Linked DNA regions of Cricetulus griseus. The main gene of each other region encodes a partner of the protein of the gene in region 3 in a complex. Links are inferred from orthologs where the notes say so. Each region holds a gene or a part of one and is shown on either strand. Other genes may lie near its edges.

Evidence for each region.
Region 1: the proteins of Gnai1 (region 3) and Gpr183 are in contact, whole or in part, in a cryo-EM structure (PDB 7TUZ), measured with the Homo sapiens proteins. The link is inferred for Cricetulus griseus from reciprocal best matches to the Homo sapiens genes GNAI1 and GPR183. Residues at the interface, in NP_002060.4 of Homo sapiens: Arg24, Glu28, Arg32, Glu318, Tyr320, Phe334, Asp337, Ala338, Thr340, Asp341, Ile344, Asn347, Leu348, Asp350, Cys351, Gly352, Leu353, Phe354; in NP_004942.1 of Homo sapiens: Asn64, Thr66, Arg129, Ala132, Val133, Pro136, Leu137, Asn140, Lys141, Arg144, Ile219, Lys222, Leu223, Thr226, Asn230, Pro231, Leu232, Thr233, Ser236, Val238, Lys241, Ala242, Thr245, Ile246, Ile249, Ala311, Cys312, Lys313.
Region 2: the proteins of Gnai1 (region 3) and Ffar2 are in contact, whole or in part, in a cryo-EM structure (PDB 9NS9), measured with the Homo sapiens proteins. The link is inferred for Cricetulus griseus from reciprocal best matches to the Homo sapiens genes GNAI1 and FFAR2. Residues at the interface, in NP_002060.4 of Homo sapiens: Glu28, Ala31, Arg32, Glu33, Val34, Asp193, Leu194, Phe336, Thr340, Asp341, Ile343, Ile344, Lys345, Asn347, Leu348, Asp350, Cys351, Gly352, Leu353, Phe354; in NP_001357016.1 of Homo sapiens: Gln40, Ala42, Val44, His45, Glu106, Arg107, Gly110, Val111, Pro114, Val115, Tyr117, Lys118, Leu119, Ser120, Arg121, Arg122, Phe202, Met206, Gln209, Pro210, Leu211, Val212, Arg216, Arg219, Ala220, Leu223, Ala224, Phe273, Ser276, Ser277.

The regions. Positions count from the first base shown.
Region 1 is NW_023276807.1:271,866,183-271,869,408, reverse strand, and holds Gpr183 (G-protein coupled receptor 183), read left to right. Parts: upstream 1-1,464; 5' UTR 1,465-1,488; coding exon 1,489-2,562; 3' UTR 2,563-2,712; downstream 2,713-3,226. UniProt on the Homo sapiens protein: G-protein coupled receptor expressed in lymphocytes that acts as a chemotactic receptor for B-cells, T-cells, splenic dendritic cells, monocytes/macrophages and astrocytes.
Region 2 is NC_048602.1:4,970,113-4,972,894, forward strand, and holds Ffar2 (free fatty acid receptor 2), read left to right. Parts: upstream 1-1,275; coding exon 1,276-2,268; downstream 2,269-2,782. UniProt on the Homo sapiens protein: G protein-coupled receptor that is activated by a major product of dietary fiber digestion, the short chain fatty acids (SCFAs), and that plays a role in the regulation of whole-body energy homeostasis and in intestinal immunity.
Region 3 is NW_023276806.1:175,872,793-175,876,736, forward strand, and holds the start of Gnai1 (guanine nucleotide-binding protein G(i) subunit alpha-1), read left to right. Parts: upstream 1-1,138; coding exon 1,139-1,256; intron 1,257-3,944. UniProt on the Homo sapiens protein: Guanine nucleotide-binding proteins (G proteins) function as transducers downstream of G protein-coupled receptors (GPCRs) in numerous signaling cascades.

The sequences.
Region 1 (3,226 bases), on a different chromosome or scaffold from region 3:
AGCTTCTTCTCTGGTCTTGTGAGACAAGGTGCTTCGTCCCACTGTTGGGTTCTGCTTTAGGTTTTACTTGTAGGCTTCCCAACACCACACACCACAGCAGAGCTCAGGGCCAGTAGACACCCCTCTTCTCAGGCTGGCAGAGGGGACAGAGACCCAGGGCACCAAGCAGCATAGGCACAGGAGCCGGTCTGGAGCCAGTGCTCTCTGTCAGTCTTGACAGAGGGCTTCTCTTTAAAACAGCAGCAGCAAAACAGACGTGTCAAAGATTCCCTTAATTCTGGTGACTGCCTTGTGTTTTTTTTTTTTTTTTTTTTAAAGTGTCATCATGGTACTTATTGCTCAGCTTTTCCATGTTTACTGCTGCTCACTCTTTTATATGGAATTTTACTGCCATAATTCTTAGATTTCCAATTTAGCACTTGAAATTTCCTTGATCCTAAATTCATGACCAAGGAAAAAATTTAAACAACTCAAATGTGTGCCGAAGGAGTAGCTAGCTAAACTGCATTAGTACATTGGGAAACTGAAGAATACCGAATCAACACTTTGGAAAACTGTGGCGTAACCATCAGATGCCCCATGAAACCCAGACATGGAAAAACAGGTGACTATACACTGCTAAGGAGATGTTACTCTTACTGGGTTCAACACACACTGGACGCCCAATTTAAAATTTCTTATCTGAAGCTGCTTGAGTCCCCCCCCACCCCCCACCAATCACACTCCTGAAAGAAGGGACAACTACTGCTGAGCTGCACCCACAGCCCCTTTAAACTTGACTTTTGCTTTTCATTTTGAGAAAGGGTCTCACAGAGATGCCCAGCTGCCCTCAAACTCATCAGTCTCCAGAGTAGCTGCATCACAGCTACGCACAACTACGTTTGTCTTTCTTCTTCTTTTTCATTTTAGTTATGAGCACTATTTGTTTTTCATTTTCTTTCTTAAGAAAGAGTAACTTTCAGTTCCTACAGAGCCCAAGATTATTTCTCACACTCGTCAGGCTCACACAAATCAGATACTGTGGTGAGTTCATACTCCACTCCATGTGCCACTGATTTCATTTCCTGGCAGTGATACGAATTTTGGAAGAAGAAGAAGAAGAAGAAGAAAAGCTCAACCTAAATTCAACCTAAAAGGCAAGTTTAATGCCTGTCTAAAATGTGGGTACTTTACATGATTTTATTCTTAACCACACAGTGATTCAGAAAAGGGGGGATTTCTGCCTAAAGTTAGTGTACTTCTCTTAAAAAAAAAAATGCAGTTGACCTATTTAGATGGTTCTGTTTCCTTTGCCAGGGTTTTGACAAAGCCACTAACTGTGAAAGTAAACACAAAATTTTTTTCCTCAGTTTATTCCAGTTGAGATTTACATGCTGAAAAATTTTAAAGTAGACGTATAAATGACTGAGTAGCTGAGTTAAATAGTTTTAGCTAAACAGTCCCTACTTGATTTCTTCCTAGTGACTCTGACCCCTGCTGGATACAGAAATGGCTAGCAATTTTACTACGGCCCTGGCAACTTCTCAGGGCAACAACTGTGACCTCTATGCACACCACAACACAGCCAGGATATTAATGCCTTTGCACTACAGCCTCGTCTTCATCATTGGTCTGGTGGGAAACCTGTTGGCCTTGGTTGTCATTGTTCAAAACAGAAAGAAAATCAACTCAACCACTCTCTATTCAATGAACTTGGTGATTTCCGACATCCTGTTTACCACAGCTTTACCCACTCGGATAGCCTACTATGCGCTGGGTTTTGACTGGAGGGTCGGTGATGCCCTGTGCCGGATAACTGCCCTGCTGTTCTACATAAACACGTATGCCGGCGTCAACTTCATGACCTGCCTGAGCGTAGACCGCTTCTTTGCCGTGGTGCACCCTCTGCGCTACAACAAGATTAAAAGGATCGAATACGCAAAGGGCGTTTGCATATCTGTCTGGATTCTAGTATTTGCTCAAACCCTGCCTCTGCTCATCAGACCTATGTCAAAGCAGGAGGCCAGCAGGACGACCTGCATGGAGTACCCGAACTTCGAAGAGACAGCTTCCCTCCCCTGGATTCTCCTTGGAGCATGCCTGCTTGGCTACGCGCTGCCCCTCACAGTCATTCTCGTCTGCTACTCGCGGATCTGCTGCAAGCTCTTCAAGACGGCCAAACAAAACCCACTGACTGACAAGTCTGGTGTGAACAGAAAGGCTCTCAACACCATTATCCTCATCATTGTTGTGTTCATTCTCTGCTTCACACCTTACCACATATCCATCATCCAACACATGGTTAAGAAGCTGTGCTCCCGCGGTGCCCTGGCGTGCGGCCCGAGGCACTCCTTCCAGGTCTCTCTGCACGTCACAGTGTGCCTCATGAACTTCAACTGCTGCATGGATCCTTTCATATACTTGTTTGCGTGCAAAGGGTACAAGAGGAAGGTCATGAAGATGCTGAAACGGCAGGTCAGCGTGTCCCTCTCCAGTGCCGTGAGGTCAGCCCCTGAAGAAAACTCGCGAGAAATGACGGAGTCCCAGGTGATGATTCACTCCAAGGCTTCCAATGGAAGGTGAAAGATCGCGGCACCGGACTTCACAGCACAGCAACCCGCTTGGTGGCTCTGCAGACCCACTGTTCAGTTCCCAACAAGGATTCCTCTCAGGTGCCCCCTCTTGGCACGACCCCCACCCCCCCACCCCCCCACCTGATGCACTGAGATCCGGACCAGCTCAAGAGAACGGCAAAAGCAAGTTCTACTTCATAAATGAGATGCTGTGTGTTTAAAGAAGGCTGTCTTGATAAGTCTCGAGGCAAAGAGTTGTTCTGTGTTCCTGAGAACACAACCATTACAATTTCTGCCAATAGTTTGGCAAGAGATAAAAGGCTGATTCCACTATACATTACCAGTGTAAAAAAAATGTTAATACTGTAATATAGGGAACATATGTCTTAATTTACATCTCTTTCAAATTTAGATTTTACCTCCCTAGTTTTTATCTGTATGTCTGTTTTGTTCTGAGACAACTGTTTAAGGAATATTTTGTGGGATAAAAAACAGGATGTAACTAAAGTGTTAATATACTACTGCCCACTGCCAGCAGAAGTGACAGGCATGATTGACAAGAGGTGGATCTGAAAAGCAGGAAGTGCTAGGAATGACCGAGTAACTGAAAGCGTCACCCTCTTCCCCCCATAACCAGGGCAGCACTTGTGGACCACTGCTCACAAAAAGCATGT
Region 2 (2,782 bases), on a different chromosome or scaffold from region 3:
TAGAGCAGATCTCCAGGGAGTGGGTAGAGCCGCAGCACCCCCACCCCACCCCCTTTCGGGTTTGAGAGGAAATACTGCTCAATTACTGACCTGCCTCTCTCTGGCCATGTGACCCACGCTGGTGTAACAGTTTCCCACCAACCAGGTTCCTTACAGTTTTGGACTCCCCCGCCCTTTTCTGCTAGGGCTGCAGCAATTGCTAAAAGTCCGTTGGCCTCTTGCGCCAGGAACCCCACGAGGAGCCCTCTATCAGCAGCCAGGCCAGGCCAGCCAGTTTACCGTGTGCAGTCAGTCAGGGGAAAAGCAGAGCTGGGGCTTGCATTTGAGGAGCAGGTGTCGGGTAAGGCAGAGGCTGGAGGATGGCTGTCGAAACAAGAAAGTAATGACCCAGATGTTGAGGGTGGGCGGGGAGACGGGGAGGAACCTCGGACCTGGGAATGAAGAAGGAATGATGGAGAGAATTTGAGTTAGCAAAGGTTACCAACCAAGTGAGAACCTGGGTAGAGGTGGAGTTCTGTTTCCAGCTAAAAACACCAGGCTCAGGAGACGCTTGCGCTCTCTCTGGGCTTCGGTGAATGTGTGTCTGAAATCTGGGAGGAACAGGCCACAAAGCAAGGTGCTGGCTAAGTCTTCCTCTTTGGCTACCCTAGCTTCCCCCTTTTTGGTAGGATCCCCAGCACTGGTGCAGAGGAGAACCAGGTGAAAGAGACCTTCAAGTCGGCCCAAGGAGGTAAGGTGCTGAGGCGGGGTGGGGTGGGGTGGGCACCTGGAGCTGAGGAGAGCCAGCCCAGGGTTGGCAGGGCATGCCTTCTGGAAGTTTCTCCCCCCCCTCAAGACACACCTCCCGTCCTTTCCTAGTTTCTATGCCTGCCTCCTTCTCCCACCAGGCTTTGCCACCAGGCTTTGGCTCTCAGCCACAGCCAGCTGTGAGAAAGGGACCTGACCACAGCTACTTCCTATTATCTGTGACGCTAAATAGGAAAAGGGCCGCGGAAAGCGGAGGGGGAATTCCCGTGGGAAGTCGAGTTGGTCTCCCCCAGAGACACAGGATGGCAAACGTAATAACTGCGGCTTAATATCCCGCCCAAGGCTAAGTCAATAATTGCTCTGGGCAGTTCTGGCAGGTGGCTCTGGCAAGCCGTGGTGAGGCGCAGACAGCTTTGGCCTGGGGACCAAAGAGGATGTGAGCAAGTCCGAGCCAGACAGAGGAAGGAGCTTCTGCAGGCTGCGAGTGAAGGTGGGCAGTTCCTGACCCCTTTCCCATCCTCTTCCAGGATGACCCCAGACTGGCACAGCTCCTTGATTCTCACCGCCTACATTCTCATCTTTCTCACTGGGCTCCCTGCCAACCTGCTGGCCCTGCGGGCCTTCGTGAGCCGGGTCCGCCAGCCCCAGCCGGCTCCCGTGCACATCCTCCTGCTTAATCTGACCCTGGCCGACTTGCTCCTGTTGCTGCTGCTGCCCTTCCGCATTGTGGAAGCGGCGTCTAACTTTCGCTGGTACCTGCCAAAGATCGTGTGCGCGCTCACAGGCTTCGGCTTCTACAGCAGCATCTACTGCAGCACGTGGCTGCTGGCCGGCATCAGCGTGGAGCGGTACCTGGGAGTGGCCTTCCCCGTGCAGTACAAGCTCTCCCGCCGGCCCCTGTATGGCGTGATTGCTGCCCTGGTGGCCTGGATCATGTCCTTCGGCCACTGTACCATCGTCATCATCGTACAGTACCTGAACTCAACCGAGCCGGTGGGCGACGGCAACCAAGTAACGTGCTATGAGAATTTCACCCAAAAGCAGCTGGATATAGTGCTGCCTGTGCGGCTGGAGCTGTGCCTGGTCCTCTTCTTCGTCCCCATGGCAGTCACCGTCTTCTGCTACTGGCGCTTCGTGTGGATTATGCTCACGCAGCCCCACGTAGGGGTTCAGAGGAGACGCCGGGCAGTAGGCCTGGCTGTGGTGACGCTTCTTAACTTTCTGGTGTGCTTCGGACCTTACAACTTGTCCCACCTGGTGGGGTTCTACTTGCGGCAGAGCCCCCCGTGGCGGGTGGAGGCTGTGGTGTTCAGCTCCCTCAATGCCAGCCTGGACCCGCTGCTCTTCTATTTCTCCTCCTCCGTGGTGCGCAGAGCGTTCGGGAAAGGTTGGCTACTGTTGCGCAACCCCGGCTCCTCGCTGCTGGCCAGAGGAGCTAAAGAGACCGTGGAGGGGACCAGGATGGACAGGGGTGGGAGTCAAACAGAGGTGGTGCCCAGCTCTGATTTCGTCACTGAGTAGAGAGAGTTGGGCCTCATCTTCCTTAGCCTCCGGGTCACCCAGAATTCTGTTGGGCTGGCTAGCAGAACACCTGGAACTCGGTGGAAGATTAAAAAAATAAAATAAACAAGAAACCCCGCCCCGCCACCCTCTTCAGCTTGCATAACTGCTTGGCTGGATTTTCCTGCTCCAGGATACGAGAAGAAATGGCTACAGCCCTAAAAGACGGTGGGGCCAGGGTCTCAGAAGCAAGGTGGCTAACAGGAGGGCAGTTTTATAAGCAATCGTCCTTCGAGCTTGGAAGCACCGCCCAGAGACAGTGGTCTGGCTGGCCACGCTGCACAGAAGCCTATGGAAAAAGATTGGGGGGGAAGCTGTAGGAAGAAAAGAAACCCCAGAAAGGCTCCTCTGAGCCGCCACGGGTGGGACTAGTAGGAAGGACAGGGGCTCCGATCTCTGGTGAGCTTGGTCTCTCTATAGGCGTTTGAGCTGTCCCTTTGTAATGAGCTCTGTTGATTGTCACATGGTGGCCTTG
Region 3 (3,944 bases):
AGGCCTGGGCATGGAAGGATGGACTCTAGTGTTTAACAACTGCTCATTTACCAGCAAGGAAGCTAAGGCCTGCAGAAAGGAAAGACATGCCCACTGGCACAGGAGTCATCACAGGGTCGCAAACACAGCTTGGCTAGGAACTTACACGAGCCCTAAAGGCATCCATTACCACAGAGACTTGTTCATGTGTCTATTGCGCTTTCTTTATAAAAACACATTCTTTCGTTCTTTGTCAAACGTTTTCTCGGGTTAGGAAGAAATCCTTCCAAATACATTCCCTCATGAAAAGGAAGGAGAGCACAGATCAAAGGGAAAGCTAGAGGAAAATAAGGAAGTGGTAGGGAGGAAGTGCACATGGATAGAGCCAAGACTTCCCCCTCCACGATTCCTGCTTGGTTACTGATGGTCCCCACCTCGGGTTGTCCAAGGCCCCGTGCTCATTTCGCTCTGTTTCCCACGCTTCTTCACACAAGCCCACACATTTTGCAAACCCCTGCTTGGCTGCAGGCGCCGGGCATGCTCAAATGCCCTGGACTGCCTTTCCCTTCTCGCTGGCAACTTTGGCAACCGTCCCACCCACACCCCTAAGGGACAGGTATGCACTGATGCCCGCAGTGGGGTCTCAAGAAGGGGAAATGGGGATGGCACTGGACTCTGGCTGAAGAGGCGTGCAAGCGAGCGCGCGCTGAGGGGTTGGGGGGGGGGAGACCTCGGGGGCACGCGCAGGGAGCACCCGGGGCGGCGATCACGCGGGCGCGCGGCCGTCGGAGGGGGCGCTGTCCGAGGGCACGTGCGCGGGAGGCCCGGCGGGCGGGCGGGTGCGCGCACTGGGAGTGGTCGCGGGGCGGGCAGGGGCGGGGCCGCGGCGGCGCGCGGACGCGGAGCTCGCCCGGGCTGGGAGCTGCTGCGGCTCGGCCAGCACCGGCAGCGGCGGCGGCGGCGGCGGCAGCGGCGGCGGCAGGTGCGGATCCCGGAGCGTGGCCGGCGGGGACGGCCGCCCGAGGCGGCGGCGTGCGGGCTCGCAGACCTCGCCTCCGGCTCGCGGGAGCTGAGAACATAGCAGGGCCGCCTCCGGGCCAGCGTCTCCCCGCGCTGCCAGCCGGCCCCGGCGCCGAGGGCGCGGCGACGCTCGGCCACCATGGGCTGCACCCTGAGCGCCGAGGATAAGGCGGCCGTGGAGCGCAGCAAGATGATCGACCGCAACCTCCGGGAGGACGGGGAGAAGGCGGCGCGGGAGGTCAAGCTGCTGCTGCTGGGTGAGCGGCGCCCCGGGGACGGGGCCCGGGCCGGGGGACAGCGGGGAGCGAGCGCAGCATCCCAGCCCCTGCGCAGCGCAGGCTGCTGCTCGGCCACGGCGGTGATGGTCGCGCGACCCCACGGGCAGCCCAGAGCGTGGCTGGGCGGCGGAAGGCGTGGGAACCCTGTCTGTGAAGTTGAGGTCCGCCTTCCCTAGATGAGGGACGATTGGGAACCCGAAAGCCAGGCGCCCCCTCTCCACAGACACCCCGCGGTGCGAGGTGTCGTGCCGCGCTGGCCTTTGCCCACGCCGGCAAAGTGCCTTCTTGGGTGGCCTCGGGGAGCCTTTTGTGTGGCCTCTGTGGGGTCTCAGTGGTCTCGCCTGTCAACTTCATATGTCCACTCACTGAGTGGCAAAGAGCGCCCAGCAGATTCTCCTGCGCAAGGACAAGAGCTGCTCTGGATACTGGGTTTTGCCTGGGTGGGGGATGGAAACTACCAAAGTTGGCTTACGTTGGCTCCCATAGTAGGAGCCGAAGATGCTTCGCGGGTGCAAACAGCCCTGACAGGTGTGAGGGGCTCATCCTCCCCTCCGGGGTCCTCTCTTAACCGCAGCGCTTGCTCCAGGGAGGGTTGACAGGAGCAAGGCAGGCTTTTTTAGTCATTCTTAACACTGTTTTGCTGAACGCTGATGTGGAGGTCTTTCTTCCAATTTTTTTTTTTTTTTTGAACGGGAGAAAAGGAGTAAATCTGGATTTTGATTGAGTGATATATTAGGAAAATATTCACAGGTTATGACTTTCAGATTTGTGAATCAGGCTTTCCTTTTGTTTGTTTTCCTCCCACACTCTAGGTATTTAGGTAGATGACAGATTTCTTAGAATCTTTGTTTGCACTTCCAGCGATGGCTTGTCTTTTTCTAATAGTTGTGATAGAAGAGAGACAGTAAGGCACAAATCTGCTTTTTAGTAAGCTCCTGTTTCATTGGTTTAACGACTGCAGGAACATGGTGGTTATCTCCTTCTTTCTCCTTTACTAGTAGGCTTAGAAGAAGCAAACTTGGCATGACTAAAAGTAATAACGATCTGAGTCATTTTGCAAGCAAACTGTGAAATAACTTAGCATTTTAAAGAGCTGGGTGGTATTTTTTCACCCTCCACAGCCTCCCCCATAAATCTTTCTCTGTAAATAGGATTGACCTGAGTTTTTGTATTAAAAAGATACTGTGTTTTCATAAGGTCAGTGTGTTTTTAAGAATATTGACCACAGAAGAAAGACAACTTGATACCGAACCATGTAGAGAGCCCCGTTGGGTGACTTAGAATAAACATGAAATAAAATAATTAGAGGATTCTTTTCCTGTGGTTTCAGTGCACCTGCTCTGAATATCTTAGTGGACTGCAGTGTAGTTCTTCGTTGGAGCTGCTATCCACCATATTGAAAGCAGTTGTAAATGAGCTCCCTTTGGTGTGGCTTATCTTTAAGTAGACAGCTATGAAAGGTTTGCGAAGTCGGATTTTTGCTTCTTCAGGGTTCAGAGAGCATGGTATCTCTTCTTAGCATTGTTGACATTTTGAGCTTGATAATTCTTGGTCGTTCCGGGTGTACTGTGTGCTGTAGGCTGTCAAGCAATGTTGTTGCCTTCCTACCATTAGATGCTAATGGCTTCCCCACGGTTCTAATCTCCCACCCTGCTCCCACACGCCCCCTGGAGGCAGACATGCAGAGTGAGATGTGGCTGAGAACCACAGAGTTGAGTGTGTAACATAGACGGTTGATCTCTCTAATCCTCTATAGAGAGGTAATGAGAAATGTACCAGAGTCCCGATTTTCAGAAACTATGCCATTCTTATTCCTCCAAACCAATGCATTAGAGGTATTCGAAAATGATAAAAACAAACAGACAAACAAAAGGCAAATCGGTTCCTTAAGTGTTGTTTCTAGCTTTGAGTATTTGCTTTCCCCCACAACTGTCTCTTCTCTCTACAATTCCAGTGCATCCCTTTCTTCTCGCTCACTTCTACCCTTCTACTTCTAGACTTTACCAAGACTTCTGACACACTAGTCCCTATTAAACAACAACAACAACAACAAATCTGGTGTACTTATTTCACAACTCTTATTTCTTATAATACTTGATATATCTTCCCCTGCTTGCCCCCATCAGAATTAAGTAGTGAATTCTGACCTTTGATCCACTTTGGATATTTCAGGCTTTGTGCAAGTAGCTCCATGGCATTGCTCATCTAACATCTAACATGTGGAAGCTGGTTAAGAGAGATGTAAAATGTATCTAGGTAACCTGTAACCAATGCCACTTCAATTTTTTTAGAGGGATTTTTCCCCAACAATTTACTTTAAATACTTAAAGCATAAAAAAATTTAATAGTCTGTCTGTCTGGTTACATTTCATTTTTTTTTCATGGAAGAATACACTGTTTAAAACATCTGAAGTTAGAGTTTTGAATGAGATTTGGAAATGATTAGTAATTATTTGAGTGCTGGATGTCTAATATTTACTATATAAATTATAGGTATTCCACTGTTCCTTAAATACAGTGAATTAGGCTTAAGCAAATAGGGAGAACCAAGTCTGGTCTACTGACCTGAAGGGGATCAGGTTGGAGTTTGGTTCATTTAGTCTTTCACTTTTCTTTTTAATCCCGTAGCATTTGAATCAGTTAAGAGTCTTGCACAAATGACTGTAT